Linked DNA regions of Cricetulus griseus. The protein of the gene in region 1 interacts with the protein of each later gene in a pairwise test. Links are inferred from orthologs where the notes say so. Each region holds a gene or a part of one and is shown in the gene's direction. Other genes may lie near its edges. The genes, in order: Vim, Crmp1, Fabp4, Nod2, Txlnb, Mrpl44 and Smarcb1.

The links.
Region 2: the proteins of Vim (region 1) and Crmp1 interact in binary tests that used the Homo sapiens proteins (3 or more experiments, as listed by UniProt). The link is inferred for Cricetulus griseus from reciprocal best matches to the Homo sapiens genes VIM and CRMP1.
Region 3: the proteins of Vim (region 1) and Fabp4 interact in a two-hybrid assay, tested with the Homo sapiens proteins (2 studies listed by BioGRID and IntAct). The link is inferred for Cricetulus griseus from reciprocal best matches to the Homo sapiens genes VIM and FABP4.
Region 4: the proteins of Vim (region 1) and Nod2 interact in binary tests that used the Homo sapiens proteins (3 or more experiments, as listed by UniProt). The link is inferred for Cricetulus griseus from reciprocal best matches to the Homo sapiens genes VIM and NOD2.
Region 5: the proteins of Vim (region 1) and Txlnb interact in binary tests that used the Homo sapiens proteins (3 or more experiments, as listed by UniProt). The two-hybrid records come from large-scale screens. The link is inferred for Cricetulus griseus from reciprocal best matches to the Homo sapiens genes VIM and TXLNB.
Region 6: the proteins of Vim (region 1) and Mrpl44 interact in a two-hybrid assay, tested with the Homo sapiens proteins (2 studies listed by BioGRID and IntAct). The link is inferred for Cricetulus griseus from reciprocal best matches to the Homo sapiens genes VIM and MRPL44.
Region 7: the proteins of Vim (region 1) and Smarcb1 interact in binary tests that used the Homo sapiens proteins (3 or more experiments, as listed by UniProt). The link is inferred for Cricetulus griseus from reciprocal best matches to the Homo sapiens genes VIM and SMARCB1.

What each region holds. Positions count from the first base shown.
Region 1 is NC_048596.1:218,981,783-218,985,882, reverse strand, and holds the start of Vim (vimentin), read left to right. Parts: upstream 1-1,300; 5' UTR 1,301-1,447; coding exon 1,448-2,010; intron 2,011-2,541; coding exon 2,542-2,602; intron 2,603-4,100. UniProt on the Homo sapiens protein: Vimentins are class-III intermediate filaments found in various non-epithelial cells, especially mesenchymal cells. Vimentin is attached to the nucleus, endoplasmic reticulum, and mitochondria, either laterally or terminally.
Region 2 is NW_023276807.1:106,236,692-106,240,191, forward strand, and holds part of Crmp1 (dihydropyrimidinase-related protein 1), read left to right. Parts: intron 1-1,380; coding exon 1,381-1,442; intron 1,443-2,695; coding exon 2,696-2,776; intron 2,777-3,500.
Region 3 is NC_048595.1:137,722,241-137,726,266, forward strand, and holds the start of Fabp4 (fatty acid-binding protein, adipocyte), read left to right. Parts: upstream 1-1,226; 5' UTR 1,227-1,339; coding exon 1,340-1,412; intron 1,413-3,783; coding exon 3,784-3,956; intron 3,957-4,026.
Region 4 is NC_048596.1:164,271,074-164,275,191, forward strand, and holds the start of Nod2 (nucleotide-binding oligomerization domain-containing protein 2), read left to right. Parts: upstream 1-1,318; 5' UTR 1,319-1,390; coding exon 1,391-1,448; intron 1,449-3,651; exon of another isoform or gene 3,652-4,118. UniProt on the Homo sapiens protein: Pattern recognition receptor (PRR) that detects bacterial peptidoglycan fragments and other danger signals and plays an important role in gastrointestinal immunity.
Region 5 is NC_048595.1:271,868,300-271,871,799, reverse strand, and holds part of Txlnb (beta-taxilin), read left to right. Parts: intron 1-2,554; coding exon 2,555-2,725; intron 2,726-3,500. UniProt on the Homo sapiens protein: Promotes motor nerve regeneration. May be involved in intracellular vesicle traffic.
Region 6 is NC_048595.1:432,481,998-432,485,943, forward strand, and holds the start of Mrpl44 (39S ribosomal protein L44, mitochondrial), read left to right. Parts: upstream 1-1,146; 5' UTR 1,147-1,193; coding exon 1,194-1,372; coding exon of another isoform or gene 1,373-1,410; intron 1,411-2,716; coding exon 2,717-3,185; intron 3,186-3,946. UniProt on the Homo sapiens protein: Component of the 39S subunit of mitochondrial ribosome. May have a function in the assembly/stability of nascent mitochondrial polypeptides exiting the ribosome.
Region 7 is NW_023276806.1:262,704,482-262,707,981, forward strand, and holds part of Smarcb1 (SWI/SNF-related matrix-associated actin-dependent regulator of chromatin subfamily B member 1), read left to right. Parts: intron 1-702; coding exon 703-841; intron 842-2,474; coding exon 2,475-2,604; intron 2,605-3,500.

The sequences.
Region 1 (4,100 bases):
TGGGGGAAAGGAGCTGTGACATTGTCCAGACCAGTCACTAGAATCTTGTCCCCTGCATCAGTGCCCTAAAATCAACACAAATCTGTTTCTTCAGTGTATCTCTTAAGTTACGTAATTGCCTTTCATTTGAACTCATTCATCAAATTGGACAATTGGACTTTTTTTCCCAATACCTAATGAATTCTTGTCTGGCTCGGGTTATCTTTTAATGAATTCCACTTTCAGAAAAGGCCGTGATCATTGAGCTTGTTTTTGAAACTACCAGTGTAGTTTCCTCTTTCACCCAGAACTTAGGGTGTGGTTTCATGCAGGAAGAAGAGAAGGGAGGGAAACGCGGGAGGGAACTTTGCAAGAAAAGCCTTTCTGAGTATGTTTGCGGTCTGGGAGGGGTGGGATGTTTTCTGTGTCCCAGAGGCTTTTTCCTAAGGAGAACTCACCACACTGGTGTCTCCATAAAACAATCAAAAGAGTGGCCGTGCTCAGAGTTGGTTAAAAACTTGGGACAATGAGCTTGGAGTTCTCAGAGTCTGGAGTCAATCTCAACTAACGGTTTTCCCTGAACCGCTAGACGATCTCACCCTCAGGGCTGGGTGAGTCATCACCACTGACTCAGCGACCCCACCCTGGTCCCCTGGGCTTTACTCCAGAGGCCTTGGATCCTGGCCCTCTGGAGTTGGATTGAGTCCGTTAGATCCCAGGATACGACCACCCAAAACATGCCCTCTACAAAGTGTCCAAGAGCCCGGCCCTGAACCTGGTATCCTAGGCTAAGTGCTTCTCCGCCCCACACCCCAATCTCAGGCCCTCTTTGTTTCTCTCCCCGCCTTCCGATCTGCAGGACCGCTTTTGCTGGCTCTTCCTGCTCCTCTGTTCACAGGTCTTCCCACCCACCCAGTCCCAGAAGACCGCAGCGCCGAGACCGCGCCCCTCCCACCGGCGCGCCTTGTCCCACGCCCCTTTGGCACAGTGCCAGGGACCACTTCGCTCAACTTTCCGGAGTTCCCCTTCCCCCACACATCCATCCCTCGATCCCTCCCTCCTTTCTTAGAACCCAGGCGTGAGCAGAGAATTTGTGTGATCATCCAGAAAGCCCCTGAAAGTCCTAGCCCTGTCTAAGAAGTAAGGGGACTGTGTCGGATCACCGACGGCCCTGGAAGAAGGCTCCAGGGAGCCCCCCTCCCCTCCTCCCCCTCCCGCCTTCCTCACTTCTCTCTGGGTGCCCATTGGTTGGCGCGCCCCGCGGCTAGGATGACAGTGGGAGGGGACCCTCTTTCCCAACAGTGTTATAAAAGCAGCGCCCTTGGCGGGGTCCGGTCCTCTGCCACTCTTGCTCGGGGACCCCAGAGACAGCAGCGCTCCCACGGTTCGCCTGCACCGTGCCCTCGCTCTCCTATCGGAGCCAGTCCTTGCAGCTGCAGCAGCCTAGCCCACCTTCGCCCTCGAAACCATGTCCACCAGGTCCGTGTCCTCGTCCTCTTACCGCAGGATGTTCGGTGGTCCCGGCACCTCGAGCCGGCCGAGCTCCAATCGGAGCTATGTGACCACGTCCACCCGCACCTACAGCCTGGGCAGCGCGCTGCGCCCCAGCACCAGTCGCAGCCTCTATTCCTCATCCCCTGGTGGCGCCTATGTGACCCGATCCTCTGCGGTGCGCCTGCGGAGCAGCATGCCGGGCGTGCGGCTGCTGCAGGATTCGGTGGACTTCTCGCTGGCGGACGCCATTAACACCGAGTTCAAGAACACCCGCACCAACGAAAAGGTAGAACTGCAGGAGCTGAATGACCGCTTCGCCAACTACATCGACAAGGTGCGCTTTCTGGAGCAGCAGAACAAAATCCTGCTAGCCGAGCTCGAGCAGCTCAAGGGCCAGGGCAAGTCGCGCCTGGGCGACCTCTATGAGGAGGAGATGCGGGAGCTGCGCCGGCAGGTGGATCAGCTCACCAATGACAAGGCACGCGTCGAGGTGGAGCGTGACAATCTGGCAGAGGACATCATGCGGCTGCGAGAGAAGTAAGGCATGATCCACGCGAGTGGTGGGGCTCTGGGAGGGAGAAGAGTCCTGGGCCCTGCTCGAGGGCTGCCACGCCCTTGGGGATGTGGCCGGGGTGGTGGTTGTCTGGAGGATAGCAGAGGAAGCGGCCCCACCCTGAACCTAAACTTTGCAGTGAACATTTCCCTTCTGGCTCCACTCGAGCTTTTCACCTGAACTTTTAAAAAAGTTTTCTAGCCCCTTCTGGTGGCAGGAAGAGAGGATGAGTGTGAAGGATCTGAGACAAAGAGACGGCAGAGGCGGCTGGGATGCTGGGACTGAGGTTCCTTGTGCAGGTCTAGGGAAGGGCAGTGATTGTCTTTTTAGGCTGTGCCCCAACTCCAGCTAACACCTGCTGAGGGCAGGGAGCTCGACAAAGCTGTTGTCGCTGGTGTGGGTGGAGGTGTCACAGCAGCTCTGGCCTCCTGGCTTGGCTGCGATGTGGTTGGGTGTGGCCGCCCCGCCCCTGGTGGTTTCCCAGTTCCACTCTGCTTAATGTACTACTGCTTCAGATTGCAGGAGGAGATGCTCCAGAGAGAGGAAGCCGAGAGCACCCTGCAGTCCTTCAGACAGGTTTGTAGCCAACAGCCCCACCCACCCAAACCACTCGCAGTTCTAAAAGTTACTTCACCCAGGATTTAAAGGTGCAAAACTTCAAGTCTGCCTGTAAAGCCCCTGGTGGCAGAAAGTCCACATATTGAAAAACTCCACTGTTTAGGTCAATCCTTGCAACATGAAGTTTTTCTATGTTTTTTTTTTTTCCCCCGGGGAGGGGACATTCAGATTTTTCTGTTCCCCCAAAATATTTCCCTTTCATTTTTTGAAACGTTGACCTTCTGATTCTGAACGCTTACAGTTTGATTAGAATGCCGTTTGTGAAAGTCAAATCAGCTAACTTTCACAAGGTCACACAAAGCACAGTTGCGTCCTCAAGTTTGAAATGTAGAATACTCTGGAGGATGAGAAAGTTTAACTGGAATTGAGCCAAGTTCCCTTTCTTTCTTCGAAGTTCGGTACTGCATGAAAGTTAGCTGAAGTGTCGTTGCACAACTATTTTTGTAATCTAACAAGGGTGAAAGGAAGCCATCTGTTCCCGCTGCTGAAGGGTATTAAAAGTTTCTATGGGCTTCACTATGGAATGTGGATACCGACATTCTGGCAAATGCGGTGGCTCTGGACAGAAATAATAGGAGCCTTTGTGTTCCCAGAGCAGCTTTGCAACAGGCTACATTCTTATTGAATATGTAATGATGTAACCACAGTTCCAATTGGACACAAGTATTTGCTAACATCCCTTATCTAATGTCTGGCTCAAGCTTGTGAAGTATGTGGTGTACAAAGTTCTTAAAGCTACAGTCCTCCCGGAAAGGGTTCCTCTTATGGAGTTGTAGACTGGTTAGCACCCTCCACAATTAAAGATAAATCCTAGACTGAAGAATGGAGTTTCATACGAAGGAGGGATTTTTGTTTGTTTTTGCTTCAAAGTTAGGTGTTAACAGCATACCAAAGCAGAAAGATGGCCAGTACAGTCTTATCCTTGGGAACATTCATTAGGATCAGCTACAAAACTCTCTAGGGTGACATTATGAAGGTGAGAGATATTTGCATACTCAACAGCAGTACAAGAATATTTGGTTACTTTTTTTTGTCACTGGGGGTATATGGTCATCACCCAAGAAATGTTTTCTGTAAGGCATTGGGTGAATATTCAACATTTCTTATTTATGGACTAAATTAAACTGTTTCATTCCCTTAAATAAAGAAGTCACATTTCACTGAATTTTTTTCAAAAGATTGGTCTGACATCATTTATATCTTTTTTTGTTTTTGTTTTTGTTTAGGACTTAGTGGAAAGCTTATAGATCACTTTATAAACTCTGTAAAGGAGTTTACATATAGTTTCATTGTGTTTTGTTCCACCATCCTGGAATAGTTGATGTCACTGAATTGATACAATGATGGCTGAGAAAGATAGAAATATCCTATAGGATGAGTCAAGGGGCATTTAAAAAAAAATCAGAGAAGGCAAAACCAATACAGTTCAGGATTACATCATATATTTTCCTTTTTG
Region 2 (3,500 bases), on another chromosome or scaffold:
TTCACCCCCTCAGGAAACAGTGAGAGGTGAAAGGGTAGGGCATTGGGTGTATCTTCCCTGAATGGATGGATGTTAGAACCCTCAGGATCCAGTTGTGATCCCAAAGTCCACCAGCTGGCAGCCTGGCCCCACGATGTGAGCACATATATGGGAAACACATCACATTCAAACCATGGCAGAGAGTCAGTGTCTGAGTTTCCAGTTCACCAGATGAACCTGGATGTTGATGGTGACAGTGATATGGCTTCTGTGTTTGTGAGTATATTGAGGTTTCATATTTTCAGAAGGCCCATCTTTGTAAGGAATACAGTGTCTTAATCACTGTATTTGTGCTTCCCTCATACACATTCTAATTGTGATATTTTTACTTGTGTATACTTGATTAGTCATTGATATTTTTATACCACTCTTAGAGAACAATTTTCATTTTTAATTTTTCCCCGTTATTTTAAGAGAAGGAATTTTTATGACAGCTGTTTTTCACACAGCAGAAGTCTCTGGCTTGTTGTCTCTGTTGCTGAGTGCAAAAGAAGTCTCATCCCCTTTAATATTTTGCCTCAGACTCTTTTTTTCTCCTCCAAATATTTTCATAGTCTATCTACAAACTTGAGTCACACATCGCAGGTTCCAGGGGAGCAAGGCAAAGTGACCCATGAGGCATGTCCTCTGTCCTCAAGCAGCTTGAAGAGGAATGAGAGACAAGCTCTCTCCTGTCTGTCCTGTGCTCCCCCAAACTGCTCCTCAAGATCAAGTCCTGCCCTTTTCTTCTTTTTAAATCCATGCCTCACCTATGCTCTGCCTAGAGTCTTCAACCTCCTCTTTGCAGGATTCCCCAAGCTTCCCCATGCTTCCCCTTGCTTTCCACATGTCCTCTTTGTTCCCAGGACTGTCTCTCCATCACAGAATGTGCTCCATGGCACCCCTAGCGGGGGAAGACTTAGACACTAGACTTAGCAGTTGATTGCACATCCTGTGTGCCATGCACCTTAATGAAGCTTGAGCTGGTTATGGCACTGAACTTCACCTTGTACTACAATTTAAAAAAAAATGTTAGGAAGCTCATGTTCCCTTTGTTTCAGCTGGAGGAGGGCACTTTCTAGAATGGAGGTTATCCCTACCATGGTCATCCCTCCCCTCTTGCACAGTTCCCAGTCCCCTCTTTCTCTATCCACTAACTCCTTCATTTACCTTTAGATCCAGCTCAGGTTTGATCTTTCTCAGAAGGCTCTAGGGACTGCCTGCCATCTCCAGGCTGGGTTGGGTGCTCCACTGTGGATCCTGTGGCAACTTCTCTCTTGACAATTTCTACTGTGTACCTGGTCATTGGAAAGACCTTCAACTCTACTCAAACACACTTTTCTCCATCTTATCTTGCAACAGGTGTCAACTCCTTCCAAGTCTACATGGCATATAAGGACCTGTACCAGATGTCTGACAGCCAGGTAGGCCCTGCTGTGAGCTTCTTTTCACCAGTACAGGCAGAACCCAGCTGTGATGAGTGGGGGAGGGGAGCACTTACGGCCTGGGTTCAGGCCTCACTCTCAGCACTAAGTGCAGTGTGACCATTGGCCATCCTGTACCTTTATACCTCCTTAAAAAGAGATGGGAGTGTGGAGCCTGGGATCCTTGGTAGGGTGTCCCTCACATAGCTCTTCCCCAGCATTCTCTGGGCAGTTCATTAACAGCTACTTGGAGCCCACTGTAGACATTTAGGATTTGCCTTCTGGATATGTATGTACTTCCTGCAGACTGGACAGTTTCCTTAGGGCTCAGGGGAGGCTGGGGACCATAGTACACTGGCTCTGCAGAGGTGAGCTGTGGCCTCCTTCAAACAGATGCAAGGCACTGAGGAATGCTGTCTGTTTTTTCATCAGAAGGGTGTCAGATCTCTGGCTCAGGGTGCAAGAAGCTGAAGAAGACACCACTGTGTATTTCCAAGAGTGGGCTTTCTGCTTGCACCTACCCTGTCTCCACCATCATATCCCCTCTACCTCCTAGAGAAAATTGTGGATACCAGTGCCAGCCTGCCATATCTGGTGCTTGCTGGGCAGTTGGGAACATCTTTCCCACCATCTCTGGGCTTGAGGCTTATACTATCTCACAGAGGTTGTCAGAATGTTGAGTGATTTAATACAAGTGAAATTAAAGGACAGTTAGGAATTTCTCATTGGCTATTACTGAAGAATTGGGCTGATGGTGCCCTTTCCATGTCCTGCCCTCCAAAGAAGCACCTTGGAGCAGATAACAACATATTTAGGATCCTCAAGGCCTTTGATGTAGACACCCAAGGTATCTAGAAGCAGGAAGTTGGTTGGGGCTCATGGAAGCAGTAGTATGTACCACATGGGTTATTACATTGATCCACTGAGGCCCCTGGTGTGGATGTCAGCTGTGGGTCTCAGATTGGGCCTATTTCAATCTGCTTCCTGCCTCTGAGACCCCGCCTCCTACACCTGCAAGCATGTATCTCAGGGTCAGCAGTCTTGTACCCAGAAGGAAGACTAAGAGGATGGAGGTGTTGTACTGGCATCATGAGCCTCTCATTAGTTTGGCTCCACCCTGCCTTCTGCCTCTTGATCTGGAAGATGGTGATGCATGGAGTCTGCAGAGGCCACAGGAGTGAGCAGAGGGGCAGCCTTTAAACACATGCATTGCTGCACCTTGATTTCACACCAGCTTCATTTCTCCTCTTTAGCTGTATGAAGCCTTCACCTTCCTTAAGGGCCTGGGAGCTGTGATCTTAGTCCATGCAGAAAATGGGGACTTGATAGCTCAGGTGAGTGGTCCAAGGTTCTCCTTCCTACCATAAAGGGCCTCTGCACAAAGTAGACTGTAAAAGATGTGGTACATCCTTTATTAGTGAGATGACTGGGGAAGGGTGTCATGTCACATGTGAAGATAAGAGACATTCACTTGTGTGCAGTGTGCCCATTGGCAAGGCACTTGGCCTTGATCTGTTTTCTCCTCTGTACTGTGAGGTTCTGAACAAAACTGTTCTGCAAGAAGGGAGGGATGCCATGTGCACCCAGCATCTTTTTTTTAAAATGTGGATTCTGAGGGTTTTACTCATTCTCATGCTTGCACAGTCAGCACTTTACCAACTGAGCCATCTTCCCAAGCTCATTGTATTAGTCAGGGTTCCCCAGAGGAACATAACAGATAGAATTTTATATGTATATACATGTATATACATATATATGTATGTATATTATATATTAAATCATATGAGTGGCTTGGATGCTGTGGTCCAGCTAATCCAACAATGGCTGTCTACCAAGGGAAAGCCCAAGAATCCAGTAGTTGTTAAGTCCACAAACGAGACTTGGTGTCTTAAATGGTCTTGAGTATATGCTGAAATCCCCCAAAAGTAAGCTCTAATGCCAGTGAAGGAATGGAATTGCCAGAGAGAGTGAAGGCAAGCAGGCAAAGAACAAAATCTTCCTACTTCTGTGTTCTTTATATAGGCTGCCACCAGAAGGTGTGGCTCAGACTGAAGGTGG
Region 3 (4,026 bases), on another chromosome or scaffold:
ATGCAATTAAAACTTGGCACTGTAAGCTAACTTTATCAAACTTTTATAGTAGCTTATTTTCCTACAGAAAATCCCTTGTTTGCAGTATCCCTTTCCCTGGACATGTTTTTGGGATACTGACATGGGCTTGGGAGTCTATCGGATGCCCAGCAGGTACGTCTCAGTGAGGCACAGTGTAGCAATCCATCTCTGTCCCATACCTTGAAATGTAGGTATGCTCACAGGTGTTGTGGTCCAAGTGAACTTCTTCCATCATTCGGGTATGAGGCAGGGAGATTGAGAACCAAGATTATTTTATAACATTATCTCAGGTTAGTCACCATGTCAAAGAAAAAACAGGTTTGCTAACTTGTGACCACATTACATCTGATAATTTATGTAAGGCCACACTCTTTAGATCTGTATAAATTTAAAACTTACAATATATTTCAGAAATGGGATGAGGAGCATATTTTGAATTGGGCCCCATCTTTAAGGGGTCTGTAAAAATCAATACTATATAATTATTTAGGAAGTGAGAAGAATGAGGCTTAATTTTAATTTAATTAAATCTGTGGTCTGGATTCCTGAACAATGATATGAATAAATTTTTAATACATACTAAGTATTTGAAATTACAAATCTAGGCCACTTTGGCCAGGATGTGGTAGACACGCCTTTAATCCCAGCACTCCAGAATCAGGGGCAGGAGGCTCTCTGTGAGTTCAAGAACAGCCTGGACAGTGAGTTTCAGGACTACCAGAGCTGTTTGGAGAGACACTGTGTCAAAAAAAGAAAAAAAAATCTAGGCCAGTTTCAAGTGTCATTGTTTATTTTGTTATAATTCCTGAAACAGTGCAGTCTTAACAAAAGAGCCATTAGGACTAACAATCTCTAAGGTAGGCTTTATGTCCTTAATCACAGAACGAGGCACATTATTGCCTTATTAGTAAAATGAAAACTCAACAAGAGGGTGAAAGTGCGTCCCAAGGTAATTGTCTCCTCCACAAATACATATGGAATAATAGGGGGAAGTTCAATGCACTAAGCATTTAGGCAAAACAGGAACGTTTAAAATACTCTGTTCATGGTTAAAAATAAGTTGTACTCTAAGTCCACTGATCATTGCCAGGCAGAACCAAAGTTGAGAAATTTCTATTAAAAACATGACTCAGAGGAAAAAATACAGGGGCTAGCCATGAAGGAAATGATCTGGGGCCAACCTCCATTGGTCCCTCCTACAGTCACATGGCCGGGACATCTTTAAAAAGGAATTATCTGGACTCAAGAGGATCATAGCACCTTCCCCCTCCTGCAGCCTCTTTCTCACCTGGTAGAGAAATCTCAGAAGGTTCACAAGATGTGTGATGCCTTTGTGGGAACCTGGAAACTGGTCTCCAGTGAAAACTTCGATGATTACATGAAAGAAGTGGGTGAGTGCTGTGGGGGGTGAGGGGTTCCCCCGCTGGGGAGAGGGCTGGTAGCCTGCTTCCAGCTTGGGAGCAGTTGCTGAGAGAAAGGCTGTTTTCTGCATGGAGGCTGTAGAAGCCACAAGAAAGAGCCTGTTCTAGAAGCCTCCTGAATGAAAGGTTCAACCTAGTGCTTCCTGCAGGTGAGCCAGCAGGGAAAGGGAAAGGAGTCTAAATAAAAGTCTGTTAGGATCCACAGAATGATAAGTGTTGCCTTCAATGCCACCCTTGTGTCGTGTGTCGCTGTTCTGCACTTGGCTCTTTGTTTTTAACATCTCCTTTTAAATAAAAATGTTGCAATAACTCAGAAAGAAAAATAGACTTTTTTTTTATTGCACGGAGTACTTTTTCCTTAAAACTGAAGTCATGACACTGCCCATCTTAGAAAAAAAATCATGTTGAAAAATATATTTTAGCATTTTTTTCCCGATATCAACATCACAGTAGACTGCTTGACGTTAGGAAATATTTTTCTTCATGGGGTTGAACATTCATTGGTTTGGAATGATATGGATGTCATAGATTTAGTGAGTAATTCAAAGGGAAAGTTGGCATGTGAAACACATATGGAACATGCCTTTCAGATAGCAGAGGTTCGAAATGATTTAGGTTCTGTCAGCACGGCTCGCATGCTGCTGTGTGAGTGGTCATTAAATAACACTGGCAGCAATGCAGTGGCCATCGACCAGTGATGCACTTTCTCAGGGAGCTTCTTCATTGAACCCCCTCTCTCCATGACCTCCGTAAGGTCAGATCCCATATTACAGAGTATCTTCATTAGGACAGAATCCCCTAAATTTCCAAAGGCTTAACCTTTCCCTGAGTTATACAGTGGGAACTTTTGGTTATCTGTCAATATTGTCTTCCTGTTTGTAGATAAGAATCAGGACTTTCAGCATGACTGACCTTTTAGCATATCTGCTAGGTACAGCTTAGTATGCTAGTTCCCGTGTACTGACCCAGAAACACCAGGGTTTTAGACCACCTTTAGCTACTGACATTTTGAAACAAACATTTTGTACTTGTAATATTCATATCTAAGTTATAGTGACACTTTAAATTGTGAAAGACTCGTAATTAAAGGCAGTAAGTATTTCCTGAATGGAACTGGCAGTTATAACTGAGGCACAGTGGGCAGGTATTGCCTTCTGTGGTCAAATAAAGTCAGAAAGAAACAAGTGAAGCTTAGTTTTTCCTAGTCTCAGTCCCTCTGGAATAGTCTTCCACATTTCACCCCTCCCTCATATTGATTGACTGAACTGAATGATGTGTTATGCAGCAGAGTGAGGGTTCAAGGCAGAACTACATCATTTTCTCACTGGGGCTACTTTTTAGACAAAGAGCCAAGTTGCCGGCTCTGCATCACTTATTTGTGCTGTGTTTCTCAGGACAGCCTTAATTCTAACCTGTGGTCACTTCTAGTCAAAGAAAAAAAACTTTGTTTAAGCATTTGTGTTGGAAAAGTTAGCACATCGGTGACTACAAATTCTGTGTAACATACACAGAGAACGCAAGTGATTACTGTTCATCTAAGGATTTAAGTTGCTCACCCTCTACAGGAGAGCATTTCCCTCATTTAAACAAAGAAGACCTCACAACTTGAGTGACTGAGATGCAAAGTGTTAGTTTCCAAATTATTTTAAACAATGGAATTATGATTTATTGAGTTCAAAAGATATTTACTGATTCTCCCTTTAATTTTCCTTGCACAATATTGGGAATGGTATTGGCATTCTAAAATGGCATGGCATGCAGGAAGCATTTTTCCTTTTAGAGAAATTAATCAGAGATCTTCATTTCATGAGGGAGTAATATGGGAAAGAAACCTAGAAAATTACACTTGGCAACAAATGCTGTGATATGTGGTTTCTGTATACTCAAAATAGATGAACCTTTAACCCACTAACTCTACTTCAGGCCTGGTCTCTGACTTTAGATTTCTTTTTTAAATACAACTTTTAATATTTAAGAAAGAATGAAATGGTCAAATGGTCTCAATCAGAGATCTGAAATAGAGACAGTATATAGACACATGCATTATTGCCATATTCTTATAGGTATATTATAGATATGCTGACATATATCTAAAAACATACACATGGAGGTATGAAGATTTAATCTCTATAGATTATGTTGAAATCAATGAGTCTCCTAAAGTAGAGAGGGGACAACCTAAGAGTGAATCTGGATAGGTTGCTCCTGAGTGTATCCTCGAGGATTAGGGCCAATATGCTTAGCTGCTTAGCTTGTTTCAAAGGAGCGTCAAGTAATCTAGCATCTTTTTCTTCATGGACAAAAAATGTAAGTTTGCCATGTTTTCCCTTCTTAACTCCAGGAGTGGGCTTTGCCACCAGAAAGGTGGCCGGCATGGCCAAACCCAACATGATCATCAGTGTGAACGGAGATGTGATCACCATCCGATCAGAGAGCACATTCAAAAACACTGAGATTTCCTTCAAACTGGACCAGGAATTTGAGGAAATCACCGCAGATGACAGGAAAGTGAAGGTGAGGAATAAGGATTTGGGGGCAAGGAGAGGGCCTGGCTTCTAATTCGACAACCTACAAGACATGATTT
Region 4 (4,118 bases), about 55 Mb from region 1:
AGAGCTGGCTGCTCTTCCAGATGACCTGGCTCAAATCCCAGCACCCACATGGCAGCTCACAACTGACTGTAACGCCAGTTCCAGGGGATATGACACCTTCACACTGATGCACAATAAATAAAATTTAAATAAATCATTAAAAATAACATTAAGAATAGGAAGTTATAAAATCAAATGAATGCAATAGAAACAAAACAACACTATTGAATTCTGATTAGGATGATGGTAGAGCCCAGCACTGTGTGGGAGGCAAGTGCTAATATGCTGTGACCTCCTCTCCTCAGCTTGCATGGGACTGACGGCCAAGGGGAAGAGAGTAACTTTAAAGTCCTAGTAAGTCTCCACCCAGCACAGCCATCTGGGAATGCAACCATCAAGACTAAAGGGCTTACAGATCCCTGGGAGGGTGCATCGGTTCCTGCTGACAGGGAGGGCTTTCCTGTCTCTTGTTCTCGGGACTCTATGGTTCCCTCCTAATTGGAAGGTGGCCCAGAAAGCCGGCCACACAAGGGCAGGATACACTGCACCGCAGGCAGGCTTCTTCCAAGATACCTGTCTTACCACCTGTCCCCAGAGGGAAATCAGGAGGGGTGTGGCCGCCCTTCCGAATCCGCCACAGTGGGCGGGGTCACTGGCTAAGTAGGTGGAACGACGGGCGGGGCAAGATCACGGAGGGAGTCACCACCAGGCGGGCGGAGGAACCCCGCGCTGCAGCTGGCGGTGAGTGCTTGCCTGCTGCTTCTGTGGTCTGCGGGTGCTCGGGGTGGTGGGTGGGTGGGTGAAAAGAGGTTTTCTGGGGGCAGACTTAGTGCTCCGGGGGGGGGGAGGGGTCGGGCTCGGTGTGGTGGAGAACACGAGCGCCTAATGTCCCATCCCTATGATGGTGTTAACTGGCTCTGCGCTTCCTTCCAGAAGGAACTGTTTCCCTGTGGAATCATCAGCAGAATAGATAGGCTGTAGAAGGAAAGGGGCTTCTCGAGAGGGGACCCGTGTCAGACTGTGGTCACTGAAGATGAAGAGGTTTAGGGCACGGGAAGCCCATTGAGGCCCCAGGATCCTTTGAAGTCTAAGGGGAGGCTGAGGTTTGGGGGTGGCTGGGACAGTGGAGGTGAAAACTTGCAGGTGAGGTCCTTACCCAGAAGGAGGAAATCCTGCTTTGGGTCGCAGGAGGAGCCATTCCTGGCACAGTTGTCCCCTCTCCGTGGGCCTCAGTTTCTCTGTCTTTGGTCTTCAGAGACCCCAGCTGCTGCTCCCTGATCCTTGCAGGTGTCTCCTGCCTGTCCTTACTCATTTGTAAGTGTGGGAGCTGGGGCCAAAAGCTGTTTCTGCCTGGAGAGACCCACGGCCACCTGCCCAGTGCCAGCTCAGCTTTCAAGCTTGATCCTCTCTTATGCTTCTCAAGTCATTGGTGCCTCTATGTCTGGACAAGCTAGCTCCCAAGCCTCTGGGTAGGTCTGTAGCTGGTTGAAACTCTCATGGCTGTTTTTTTTTTTTTTTTTTTTTTTTTTTTTTTGTTGTTGTTCTTTTTTTTCAGATCCTGCAGGGTCCTGGCCTGGGGCAGGCTGTTGGCTTTCCTGCCCTAGGGGGAGTATGATCTCCCCCTAGGGCCAGGGTTCTGCAGGGTCAGAAAAGCTGGCTCCATCAGCCACCTCTGCCCAATTGGGGAAAAGACCAAGTGACAGCTCTGTTGCTTCTCTTCCAGTCAGTCTGTTGTGAGGCTATTGGAGGCCCTGGTTTCTTGGCCATTTGATGCCAGGTGGTCTCCACATGCAGCTCCAAGCTGGCACTGGCCCACACTTTGCCCCTCTCTCTCACCCAGGTCAGCACTCACTGTGGCCCAGTGAGCAGGCACTTCCTACTAGCCCATTGGCTAAAGTCTGTGCCTTGTAATGGCTACTCTCTGGTTCCACAGCTACCTCCCCAAGCTGTGTGGAATAAAGACATTCTCATTCATTCAGACCAGTCTATTCACAGGGTGAGGCACAGGGTCCAGAGAGGAGCTCCAGCAGTGTATCATGATAATGCTTGCCATGGCAGATGATGAAAAGGACTGTGGGGAGAAAATGCTGGGACAGGGCTTGGGGACCACAGTTCTACATAGCATAGGAAGGCCCCTCTGAGACAGTGGCCACTGAACAAAATCTTAAGGAGGTGATGGGCAAGTCATGTGACTATCTGTGGGACAGAGAGTGCCCTGTGAGCATAAAGCTTAGGCAAAGGCAGGAGCACCACAGACCAGAGCAGGCTCCCTTGTTCTGAGAGTGAGGAAGCAGGTGAGGGGCTACAGCAGGGTGGGAGTCAATGGAGGCTAGGAGGAAAGGGGTGGAAGTTGAGGTCTCTTGTATTGAGCTTGAGGTTGCTATAAAGGCTTTTGGCTTTCGCTTTGACTATGATGAGATCCACTAGTGGGCTGGGCTGTGAACAGATAAGGTCTCTGCTCTGACTTAAGATCTGGCAGGTTCATCTAGTTGTGTGACTAACATTGACCTATAGGGGGTCATGGCAGATGAAGGAACCATGAGAAGGCTTCAGGGCTTATGTTGTGGTATAGAGAGAGGTGGAGAGAGAAACTGTGGCTTTCAGATTTGGGGTCTGTTGAAGGCTGGGTGGATGGTCTGTGATGCCCGAGAGCGGCAGAGTCAAGGATGACTCTGGCAGTTTGGGGCCACTTTCAGTTGAGAAAGGAGCTAGCTGTTAGGAGGAAGGTCCAGTGATTGAGTTGTTTGGAGATGCTGGTAGGTACCACATGATGTTGAATGTTGTCCAGAACTGTCAGTGACATTTCAGGCATCACTGCCACATAGTTGGGAATTTAAGCCTGTGGGGAGGTGGGCTTATGTGGGGAGAGAGTGGCTCAGAGAAGTGGCAGTGATTCAGTTCGGCGGCAGTACAGAGGTGTGTTATCAGCCTTGGAGGCAGAATGGCTAGAAAGAGTAGCTAGCATGTGGGAAGGAAGGTCAGAGAAATCCTTCATGGCCTCAAGAGACGTGCTCCAGGGAGGAGAGTGAACAGGTAGAACAAAAGTCCTTGTCAGAAAGGAAGACCAGGAACAGAAGGCCAAATACTGGAAGTCATGGTTTGCATTTTCACTTGTAATGGTTGTGGGGTGGGGGGGAAGGATGAAGGGAGGACTGGGAAGTTCAGGCCTAGACAAGGGAGGGCAGAAATGAAGGATGAATTAGTTTGTTTGTTCTATGATGGGAACTGATGTCCTGGGGAGCAACTCAGTGGAGATGGAGAGTGGGGTTAGTGCCCCAGGGAAAGCTTGGCCAGCCAGGACCAGGACACTCTTCTGGGGACCTCCCTTCCTCTCCCATCTGCTGGAGGCCTGGGACACTGCAAGGATTGTTCAGCTCTCAAACAAATCCTCAGCTGGGAACTTCAAGGAAAACCAGGCTGCCTATGATCCTGGGAAGGAAGGAGGTGCTGGGGCACAGGCGTGTGCATGAGCACGTGTGTGTGTGTGTGTGTGTGTGTGTGTGTGTGTGTGTGTGTGTTTGGGGGCTTGGGGATGAGAGGGGCTTTTTTTCATTTTTATTTTTACTTTTAATTTTTTTTGGTTTTTTGAGACAGGGTTTCTCTGCGGCTTTGGAGGCTGTCCTGGAACTAGCTCTTGTAGGCTCACTTCAAACTCACAGAGATCTGCTTGCCTCTGCCTCCTGAGTGCTGGGATTAAAGGCATGTGCCACCACCACCTGGCTGAGAGGGGCCTCTGTAGATACCCTTGACCCTCTGTTTCAGCAAGCTGGTGCCCCCTTTGTTTGGGTTCCGTCTTGCAGAGCCTAAGAGTGACTCCAAGGTGGCCCTAGCTGGATAGAGAAGAAAAGGCAGGGAAGCAGAACAGCCTGTTTAACCTGGAGAGGACGAGTCTGACTGAGTAGGAAGGTGCAGGAACAGGATACTAGACCAGCTTTTATGAAACAGGTGACAAGAGCATCTATCGTTTTGCTTTTTCTTCCAAATTTAGCCGAACAAGATAAACTAATGAAGGACTCCTCAGCTGGTCAGGACGATAGTATCAACCCCAGGTCTTCTTTTCCAGCTGCTTAAGATGAGATAGAAAGATGGCCTACTCAGAGGCAGGGGACTGGCAGAATAGGTCTGTGGGGCTATGCCTT
Region 5 (3,500 bases), on another chromosome or scaffold:
AATTACATTTCCTTTTCAGGGAAAAAAATCATGAAAAATTTTAATGATCTGAATGGAGATAAAAGTTCTTTTATCTCCATGTAAGTAATTATTTCCTTGCTCATTAATTAGGATATTAATATAGAAAATGTCTGAAATATAATGGTTAATATGGAGTAAACTGTCAACTCTAATTCTTTAAATCAAACTGTCACTATAGCTCACTCATGCTTACAGAGCCTGAAGCCTGTAATATTATCTGCCATTGTGTTCATCAATAAATAAGGACTTGTTCATTAATAAGTAAGGAAGCTTCATGACTACATTCAGAAATGGCCTTAGAAAAACATTTTCTGGAAATTTCTTCAACTTCTATATACTTAAAAAGAATCATTAATACAATTCTAATTTAGTCATTGGCACTGATTTGCTTTTATTTTTTTTTAACTTAATGAAGAAGAAAGAACAGAAATTTCAGATAAATACCTGTTACAAATTTCCAGAACCGTGCCTACATGAATCATTTAACCTCACAGCCAGATCTGGGCTGAGGGTGACTTGGTTGTAATATGTTCACATTAATTCATTAAACCCCCCCATTCAGACACAAACACCAAAGTCTGAACTATTTGAAAAGAAAAAAATCATCCAAACATTAAAAAATGTAGGAAGTCCAGAGTAGTTCATTTTAAACCTAAGGAAAATAGATCTGGCTAAATTTTTAATGTGCATGATCTTATAACACAGCCAAAGATTAAATATGGCAAAGCAGGAATCATCTGTCTTCCACCTTCTAAAGCACATAAAGTATATATTTGTTTCAGGGAACACAAAGAAAGCTTTGGTCTTGTCTACCAAGGAGCTATAAATGTCTCTTATTGGAGATATTTCTGCATGTCACAATTAGATATGTTACTGTCACACAGTAGATAGAGGGGCCCAGGTTGATGGGCACATAACAGCCCATAATACAGAGGATTCTGCACAATACAAACTTTTGTCTATTCTGTCAACAGTGATGAACTTGCAAAGTTTTGACATATAGCTTAACCCTCAAAACTGAAGTCTAATCTATAATGACACAATACATCAATTTCAAGGAAGAAAAATCTTGCTCTAATCATAGGAAATTAATGTGCATGATTTTATAACACAGCCAAAGATTAAATATCACTATGGTACAAAACAAAAGGACCACATTTATCTTATAAACATAAGTTTGGCATGTAGGATCACTGGCTTTTCAAGAAGGGAATCAAGGCCAATCATTATTCCTAGTAGCATGGTTCTCTTTTTCCAATGTTAATTTTTAAAAAGTAGAAATTGCATATGGGTATAACTTAGAATATCAAATGTGCATATTCTTGGTTTAATCTGAGTAGGATTTTTAATAGTTATTCAACATGGTAGAACTAAAAATAAAGTAAGAATTGAAGGAAGTGTGACAATCTTCAAATAGTTCAGGGGGAAGAAAAAAATTTTAAAACAGGGAAACTAAAATGTGGTCAAGATCCACAAGGGATGTACATCCATTTCCATTAGGGTCTATGAGGCTCCAGGAATACCTGGCATCTAGAAGTACCCAATGGCTTCCCAGGAATTTTCCTTGCTCCTAGCCAATATGGTTACTGATAGAACCAGTCCCTTCCTGGCTTAGGCAACACCCAGGCCCTAAAGAAACCAAGTCCAGTAGAGTGAACAATTCTAGACCAAAGTCTGCTGCTTGCATGTGGCCACATGGATGTTCTATTTCCTTAGGTATCTTGTATCATATCTGGCAAGCCTACACTCATATTTTAGTATCTGAACATGGACAGTATGGGAATAAACTTCACCTGGATCACCAGAAACAAGGGTCATGATGTCTTTACTGTAGTCATAGAGAGGCTGAGGACAAAGTTGGGCAGCAGGGAATGTTATCAATATCTGCCTTTTGCCCACTGTGTTGTGTGTGTTTGGGTGTTATGATTTCGCTTGCTTTCCCATACCCAAAGAGTCCACATCTAAAACCCCAAATTATAAAGAGGATAACTGCACTTTATGTTACCAGGAGGCTGTTTTTTCTCTTTCCTATTTTTAAAACTGTCACCACTGGTTTATTTTCAGATGGAGTTATGAGAGTGAAATGTGAGCCAAGCAAACAAAATTGCTAGCCATGGTCTGAATACAAGATACTGCCATGAACAGACACACAGTTACAAGTGTGTCTTTCTTTTTAGGGTAGCACCAGATGACATCATGAGACAGAAACAAGAAAAATATTTCTAGATATCCAAAAAAAAATCAGAGAAGAGGCTAATAGAAGTAATAGTTATGTGAAAATCATATATACATATTATGTACATACACATTATATATACATATTTATGGAGCATATACATATTATGTTCTACAAATTATACCTACACATTATACAGGAGTGGGACTTGTGAAACTTATGAGCTGTCAGAGAAGCAGATAATGATGAAAAATAGTTTTAAACAACCACACAGAATGTCCTTAGGCTTTGCTTCTTCTCTGTGAGCTGCAAAGACACCCCTGCCGATTTCTTTGCTGCTTGAATCCCCATGTCTAGCTGGATGAGCATCGAGCTGAGCAAAAGAAACTAAAACTCCTACGGAAGCAGCAGGCACAGATCCAGAGAGAGAAGGACCAGCTTCAGAGTGAACACAACCGAGCCATCCTCGCTCGAAGCAAACTTGAGAGTCTGTGTCGGGAGCTGCAGAGGCACAACAAGACACTGAAGGTATGTGGCACGTTGGAATGACACATTTCTTAGCTGTTGCATAGACACAGGCCTCTGTTACCTGGAAAAGCATGAGTTACAACCAGAGGACTTACAGTCAAATACTGGCTCTGCTACTTGCTCATTTGTGATCTTCAAGTTTTTACCTTTGTGAATGGTTCCTCCATCATCTGATTGTGTGGTCAGAAGGGGAAAGCTAAATGATATTCCATTTGCAAGGTGCTTACATATAACAACAGCTGCAGGCCCAGAGTGAAATAAATGCCATGCCTCTTTCTTGCTTGCTAGGTGGAGTTTTTTGTTTGTTTATTTTGATTGGTTGTTTAGATGGTCCTTCATTTACTATCTAATTGTTTTTATTTTTACTTTATACGATTGGGTGTTTTTCCAGCATGTATGTCTGTGCATCACATGTGTCCCTAGTGGCCAAGGAAGCCAGAAGAAGGCATAGGAACTATTGTTATAGACAGTTGAGCTCTGCTGTGTGGGTGCTGGAACTAAACCCAGGTCCTCTGAGAAAGTAGCCAACACTCAACCTCTAAACCATCTCTCCATCCCTTAGATTGCACTTTAAAAATTTGTAAAAATTCAGCATTTATTTTAATTTAATGAATTCTGCATGACAAGGCATAGACACAAAGCTAATTGACATGCAAAAGTGAGACAGAGAGCCAAAAATATCAATAATTGTCTGAGAAAAGAAGCTACTTAGAAAAACACCGGAGAGCTCTTTCAGTCTTAATTACTCAATTTAAAAATAATAGACTGATCACTT
Region 6 (3,946 bases), on another chromosome or scaffold:
ACACACACACACACACACACACACACACACACACACACACACACACACACACTTCTTTTCCCCATGATTAAAAAAAAAAAAAGTAGTTGTTATAACATACAAACCTAGGTTGAACTGGCTGTCTCCTGTGACCAGATTGGTACCTGGCACAACTGTCATCACAGAGGTGTCATCCAGTAACTGATGGAGGCAGATGCAGAGACCCACAGCCAAACATTAGACAGAGTTCAGGAATTCTGCGGAGGAAGAGGACAAAGGAGCGTAGGAACCAGACTGGTCGAGGGCACCACGGGAAGACTCACACAATTACTCATCTGGGCACATAGATGTCTACAGAGACTGAACAGACAATCTGGGAGCCGGCTTGAGAGTGACCTAGGCACTCTGCATAAGTGTCACATTTTTGTTTCTTTTTCCTCTTACGAGACTCCTAAGATAGGGAATTGGGCTTGTCACCTACCTTTTTACCAGCTTTTGGGACCCTACGCATACTGGGTCGCCTTGCCCAGCCTCAATACATGTGGAGGTGCCTAGTCTTATGGCAATTTGATATGCCATGTTTTATTGATACTCATAGGAGACTTGCACTTTTCCTGGGTGAAGACCGAAGAGGAGGTGATTGGGGTTCGGAGGGGGAGATGTGGGAGAGGGGTTGGGAGAATGGAGACTGGAGAATGCGGTAAGATGTAAAATGGATAAAAAATAAAATGCAAACTTTAATTTTGGTTAAGTCAAACACATTTCTGAACGTAAGGCCTTTGGCAGTGAGATTATTTTGGGAGAAGGGTCAGGTGAAACCTCGAATTTAGGAAAACATTTGCTCAGTGGTGGCAGGATTGATGTTCTACAACCTAAGGCTGAATGTAAACAAGTGTTTCTCTCTTGAGAATCTAACTGCGTTCTTCAAACTGAAAGTTCAACAAGTTTTTGTTTTACTTCAGTGGGAAATAAACACAATAGAGACTGACAGGGAAATGCAACTTTTCCCAGCAATTTCTGCACCCATACTCAGATCCTGGGCAGGAAGGAGCACTTGCGCAGGCGCAGAATACGCAGTCCGCCGCCGACCCGCCCTTGTGGTGGGTGTTTCCTAATTCTGAGTCCTCCCTTTGCCGCTCAGTTCCTGGGGAACTGTGTTCTGGCGACACCGGTCCGGCTGCCTTCCTTCCGCCCTTCGTTGCCTTGATCCAGCCATGGCTTCTGCTGTGGTGCGGCTGCTGCAGCGGGGCCCTCGCTGCCTCTTGGCTCCGGCAGCCCCCACACTGGTCCCCCCGGTTCGGGGAGTGAAGAAGGGGTTCCGGGCAGCCTTCCGCTTCCAGAAGGAGCTGGAGCGATGGCGGCTGCAGCGCTGCCCGCCGCCACCCGTGCGACGGTAGGTGGGCGGCCGAGGACACTGGGCTGCAGCTGCAGGCAGGTGGTGGGGAGGCCGCGCGCGGCCTGGGGCAGAGGAGAAGGGCGACACTGGCCGGGCTGTCCCCTGCAGAATCCCAGTAACCCCAAATAGAGAAATGGGGCCTGCTAGAGAGTGATCGCTTGAGGTTGGCCCAGCTTTGCGACTGCTCAGTCTCCGGCCTGAGATTCTTAGGGCGCCTTTAGGGGCGATAGCATCATTCTACACACAGTCCTGCAAACCAGGGCAGAAAAGTTCACTTCTGTGTAGAACTGAACTACGTGTCCACTGTCCGGAGTGAGAGGGGAAACGTTTAGGTTTTTGATCTAGTTAATCTCGTCGCTGGCTGGCCAGACACAGAAAAATAGCCATACGCTCTTACGAAGTGCACCATGCTTGCTTATGAGCCTGCTTCTTGCATCTTCTGTTTACGATGTCGCTGTGGACAAAAGTACACGTAGATGTACTTCATTCTTAGTCTGACTGGCACTTGACCGCCGTTAGATTGTTAGTACACCTAAAGAGGTGGGAACTGTCTCTAGTGTTTGGGGAACTTACTCCTGATGTGAAATTGTGGTTACTACTTTAATCTTGGTCTCCAGGAGAACACTGATCATGTTTACACTAATTCTTGAATTGTGTATTTAAAGTGTATGAGCACACACAGCCCCTTGTGTCTGCTCGGCAAACACTCCACCACTAAACTATAGCAGCCTCAAGCCTCACCATGGTTATGGATTTTTTGTTTGTTTGTTTGTTTGTTTTTGGAGACAGGGTTTCTCTGTGGCTTTGGAGGCTGCCCTGGAACTAGCTCTTGCAGACCAAGCTGGTCTTGAACTCACAGAGATCCGCCTGCCTCTGCATACTGCCCAGCTTAACATGCTTATAATACTGGTACTAGCTTAAGTGGACATTTCTGAAATTTAAGTAAATAGGATATAAACTAAATATAATATACTTTTAGTTTCTGGTCTGAATCTATATAGTTAGAATTTGTTTATACTTAGGTGTAAAGCATAATTTCATTGTCAGGGCAGAAAGAAGAAATTGAAAAGCTTGAACAATGGTCTAATGTAATGCCAGCAATCACTTTAATGTGGCAGTTAAGCCAAAGGGAAAATTAATCCTAACCATGTGTGTAGAATGTAACAAAGACCGCCAGTATTCGTCTGCGTTGCTTTTTTGTATTTAAACTGTTAGAACTTGACGTTAAAAGAAGCAGACTACGTTTTGTCCCTTTGTATAATTTCCTTTATCTAATAAAGCTAGAGCACAGTTGTGCATGGTGTCCTCCTGTCCTTACCATCTCTGTCTCTGCATCCTCAGTTCCGAGAAGCCAAACTGGGATTACCATGCGGAAATACAAGCCTTTGGGGCTCGGTTACAAGAAACCTTTTCCTTGGACCTTCTCAAAACTGCTTTCGTCAATAGCTGCTATATTAAAAGTGAAGAGGCGAAACGTCAGAAACTTGGGGTTGAGAAAGAAGCCGTTCTTCTGAATCTTAAGGACAATCAAGAACTATCTGAACAAGGGCTGTCTTTTTCACATAAGTGCCTCACACAGTTTCTTGAAGATGAGTTCCCAGATTTGCCCACCGAAGGCATTGAAAGTCTAGTTAGCTTTCTTACTGGTGAGGCAGTTGTCTGTCATGTGGCTAGAAACTTGGCTGTGGAGCAGTTGGCCCTTAGTGCAGAATTCCCTGTCCCCCTGCCTGTATTGCGGCGAACTTTCTTTGCAGTGATTGGAGCCCTGCTACAGAGCAGCGGACCTGAAAGGGCTGCGCTTTTCATCAGGGTGGGTATCGCTAATTCTACTTGTTCACACACACACACACACACACACACACACTTGATGAGGACAAACGAAAAGTGTCTTTCGTTCATACCTTTGATATATCTTTATAGAACAGACTGTTTCTCCCCAGAAAAACTGTCAAAGACCTAAACTTTTTTTTTTTTTTTTTTTTTTTTTTGGTAATTTTGTTGTTATTTCAATTTTTTTTTCTTTTGCGGATAGAGTGGAGTGCAAATATTAAATGCTGGGTTGTGAGTTCTGAAGGATTTAAGTCATTTTCAGCTTCTAATTTTTTTGTTTGTTTGTTTATTTGTTTGTTTTTCGAAACAGGGTTTCTCTGTGTAGCTTTGGAGCCTATCCTGGCACTCGCTCTGGAGACCAGGCTGGCCTCGAACTCACAGAGATCTGCCTGCCTCTGCCTCCCGAGTGCTGGGATTAAAGGCGTGTGCCACCAACGTCCGGCTAGTTTTGTTTTTTGTTTGTTTGGCTTTAAGGGGAAAGATTTATTTTAGCTCAGGGTCTAAAAAGGAATGTAGCCTGCCATGGTGGAAGGTGCGGCTGTGGGGGTGTGTCCTTAGGAGGCAGATAGCCACATGCTGTCTTCTACTTTGAATTTTGAAGTCATATTGGTCATATTGCTTGACATTGTTTTCTTAGGATTTGAAATTGAAATGTTTTTTTAAATTCAACTGTGATTTTTTGTTGTTGTTGTTAAAACTACAAACAAACAAGAACAACCTATGGTATAACTAACTCTGATA
Region 7 (3,500 bases), on another chromosome or scaffold:
CACCGTGTCCCCTGGTTGTCCCCACTGTGTGACACTGCAGACATCATTTCTGAAGTCAGTGAGGCCATGGATCTTTATAAAAATCATAGGACTAGCTTTTCATGAAGGGTGTCCTTAAGTGTTGCTACAAGCAAACTAAGCTATTACTCGGGGGAAGTAGTGATTTCTAAGATAGTCCAGGGATTACTAATATAGGGCTTTTTAGACTTGAGAAAATTCTTTTGGTGTCTCTGGTTTGAGTTTTGTTACTAAATAAAGCAACACAGGCAGCGGGACAAATTATCTTGCATCTGTCTAAAATTAAAGACATTTTGGTGTTTATTGCCTTGTAAAAATATCAAAGTCTGCTTCTTAAGATGAAAGGAGGTCACAGGAGTCTCAGATTTCAGAAAAGTGCCAAGAAATCTTTCGTCCTGATCGACATCACAAGCTCCTTACTGAGGTCTGGGATCCTCCCCAATAGACATCTGGTCAGATCTTTTGGAACTTGGTTCTGATGTCAGGATACACAGATTCCAGCCAGATGTGCACTGCTGTTGAACCCTTGATGTCAGCAAAATGTGTTTTATGGCTGCTGACAGGCTGGCGTCTGGAGGCCTTGTATCTCATGTACTTGATCCAGCAAATCCTCTCTGCCAGAGCCCTTCGGCATAGTGATCGATGGTCTGACCCTCATAATGAGCCTTCTTGCTTTACTCATAGGTGGGAAACTACCTCCGTATGTTCCGAGGTTCTCTGTACAAGAGATATCCCTCACTCTGGAGGCGACTAGCCACTGTGGAAGAGAGGAAGAAAATAGTTGCATCGTCACATGGTAAAAAAACAAAACCTAACACTAAGGGTGCGTCTTCACGAGGGTTTGTAAACCTGTTTCAAAACCACTCGCTTATGTCATGAAGATAAAACGTTTTCACTCCAGTGTCTTCATTGCAGCCTGACCTTAGTTCGGTAGGGAGCATCCCAGGGGCAGGCCACCCTGCCAGCGCACACATGGTTCAGTTGAGAGTAGCTCAGCGAGTCTTTGGTGCTCCACTGTTGTGTGTTCCTGGCTGGGCCAGTGGGTATGTGAGGGGCCAGGGCCAGGGCCAGGGTAGTAGCAGGTGCTGTGAAGACATGTTGGTCTCAAAACGTTTTAGGAATGCTGTGATTTGCTACCATTTGCTGTGAGTGTGTTGCCGTAGTCGTCCTTCTTGCAGCCCTAGTAGCAGACGGTGGCCCCAGCCCTCACTTTCTTCTGGGGCTTTCACCGCTTCCCTCCCAGAGCACATTTATCTCATAATACTTCATCTTGGCAACCAGTATGCTAAGCTCATGTGCATGTACCCATTCCACGTGGCCTGCCCTGTGCCTGGGGCTTGCTAGGTGAGCCACCTGGTGCTAGTGAAACTAGTGCAAGGTCTGGGCTGTGGCAACTCTGTGCAGAGTGAAGATGCTCTTCATACATTTTGGGGCCTCTAGGAAGAACATTTGGGTATGGGCGCAACATGCCATTTGGCCGGTGGCAAAACTGCTTTCCACTCAGCAGAGGCACCCTGTAGAGAGCTGCCCTGGGCCTGGGTGCATGTGTCCGTGCATGCATGCGTGCTCATGAGCACTCTGTAGTCTGTCTTGTCAGTAGGTGCTAATGTGCTAATGTAGTTGTCTGTTGTGGTGTATTGGGGTTCTTTTAATGCAGGAGCCAGAGCTGCTTTTTATCCACTTCTGAAAGAATCCACTATTGCCTGAAACAGTTTCCTTTGTGTCCCCTCTGCCAAAAGTGGAATATAGTCACTAGCATGGTGGCTACCTAGCTTTGCCTGCCCTTCCTTGAGTTCCCATGAAGCCTTAGTGGTCTTGCTACCATGTGCCTTCCTTTCCTATAACCAAGTGAGTCCTCCAGCAAAGCTAAGCAGGTCCTGCAGATAAGTAGCAGCGCTTGACAGAGGTTCCCTAGAACTGGGCGGGGAGGGGGGGGGAGGCATATCACGTGGTGTGAAGTTCTGTCTTGTTTTCCAGACAACCACATCTGGCCTGACTCAGGGATGGTAACTTTTGCTTGGTGTGAAATAGTTCTTTCCAACTCTCTGGGCTCTTGTTTTAAAAGAAGAGGATTCATCTTTCATTCTGTCTCCCATCTTGCTTTGTGTTTTAGATTGTGGTGGTGTCAGACCTCTTCCCACTGGGGTGTTACTCTGAAGCCTTCCTGGCAGCCCCTAAGCTGCAGCTACCCCCAAACATGTCTGCCCCAGAGCTAGTGCTCTTAAGAGGCAAATTCGTCCAAATCCATCCCACCAGAGGCTTTCTCCACTGAGATGTCTAGGTAAAGCCTCAGTCCGGATTGCCCTTTTGGAAGAGGCTAGCACTCAGCAGTACTGAGTTTGACACCTTGCTTTCCCCACCTCCTGCATGTGAGGACCTCGTGTGCTGTATCAAGTTGGTTGTCAGCTTGTTCACACTGCTGCAGGATGACCACAGTGGGGTTTCTCTGCTTACAGATCATGGGTACACCACCCTCGCCACCAGCGTGACGCTACTGAAAGCCTCGGAGGTAGAAGAGATTCTGGATGGCAACGATGAGAAATACAAGGCTGTGTCCATCAGCACAGAGCCCCCCACCTACCTCAGGTATGCCTTCCTAATCTCAGTTTGCTCCAGAGACATGTGGGGGTATGTGTGTGTGGGGGTCTCATCCTGAAGAACAGGGTAAAGTGAAAGTTGCTCACTCACTATGTTTATAATTGCCTGACCTTGGTTTCTAAGTTTCTTCTGTATCTTTGACATTCTTAACAAACATAGGCCAAGTCTTGAGTTCTGGAATGTTCTGAATCTGGGACTCATTTGCCCCCCCCCAAAAAAAATTGTGACTCAGATAAACTTCCAAAAGAAACAATAGATTTGAATACACACAGGTAGAACTTTGAAAAAACCTTTTCCTTCTTTCTTTTTTGAGACAGTTCTCATGTGGCCCAGGCTGGTCTTAAAATTTGCGGTGTAGCTAAGTATGGTGTTAAAGTTAGAATCCTCCTGCCTCTACCTCCTCGATGCTTTGATTACAAGTGTGTGCCATCATGCCTAATTATAATAGTGCTGGGGATGGTACCCAGGACTTTGTGCACACGAGCAGCGCTCTACCAACTGAACCATCTCCTCCTCAGGTCCAAACAGGTGTTTTTGGTTTTCTTTTCTTTTTTTTTTTTTTTTTTTTTTGATCAGGGTTTTTCTGTGGCCCTGGCTGTCCTAGAACTCACTCTGTAGAGCAGGCTGGCCTTGAACTCACTGGTGCTAGGATTGAAGGTGTGCATCATCACCACCCAGTCAAGACAGGGTTTCTCTATGTAGCCCTGGCTGTCCTGGAGCTCACTCTGTAGACCTTCCTGGCCTCGAGCTCAGATGTCTGCCTGCCTCTGCCGCTGGAGTTGTCTTTTAAAAATAACTTTTAAAAGTTGTATTATTGTAGGCTGGAGAGATTGCACGTGTGTGACATGCCATGCGTGTGGAGGTCAGGGGACAGCTTTGTAGAA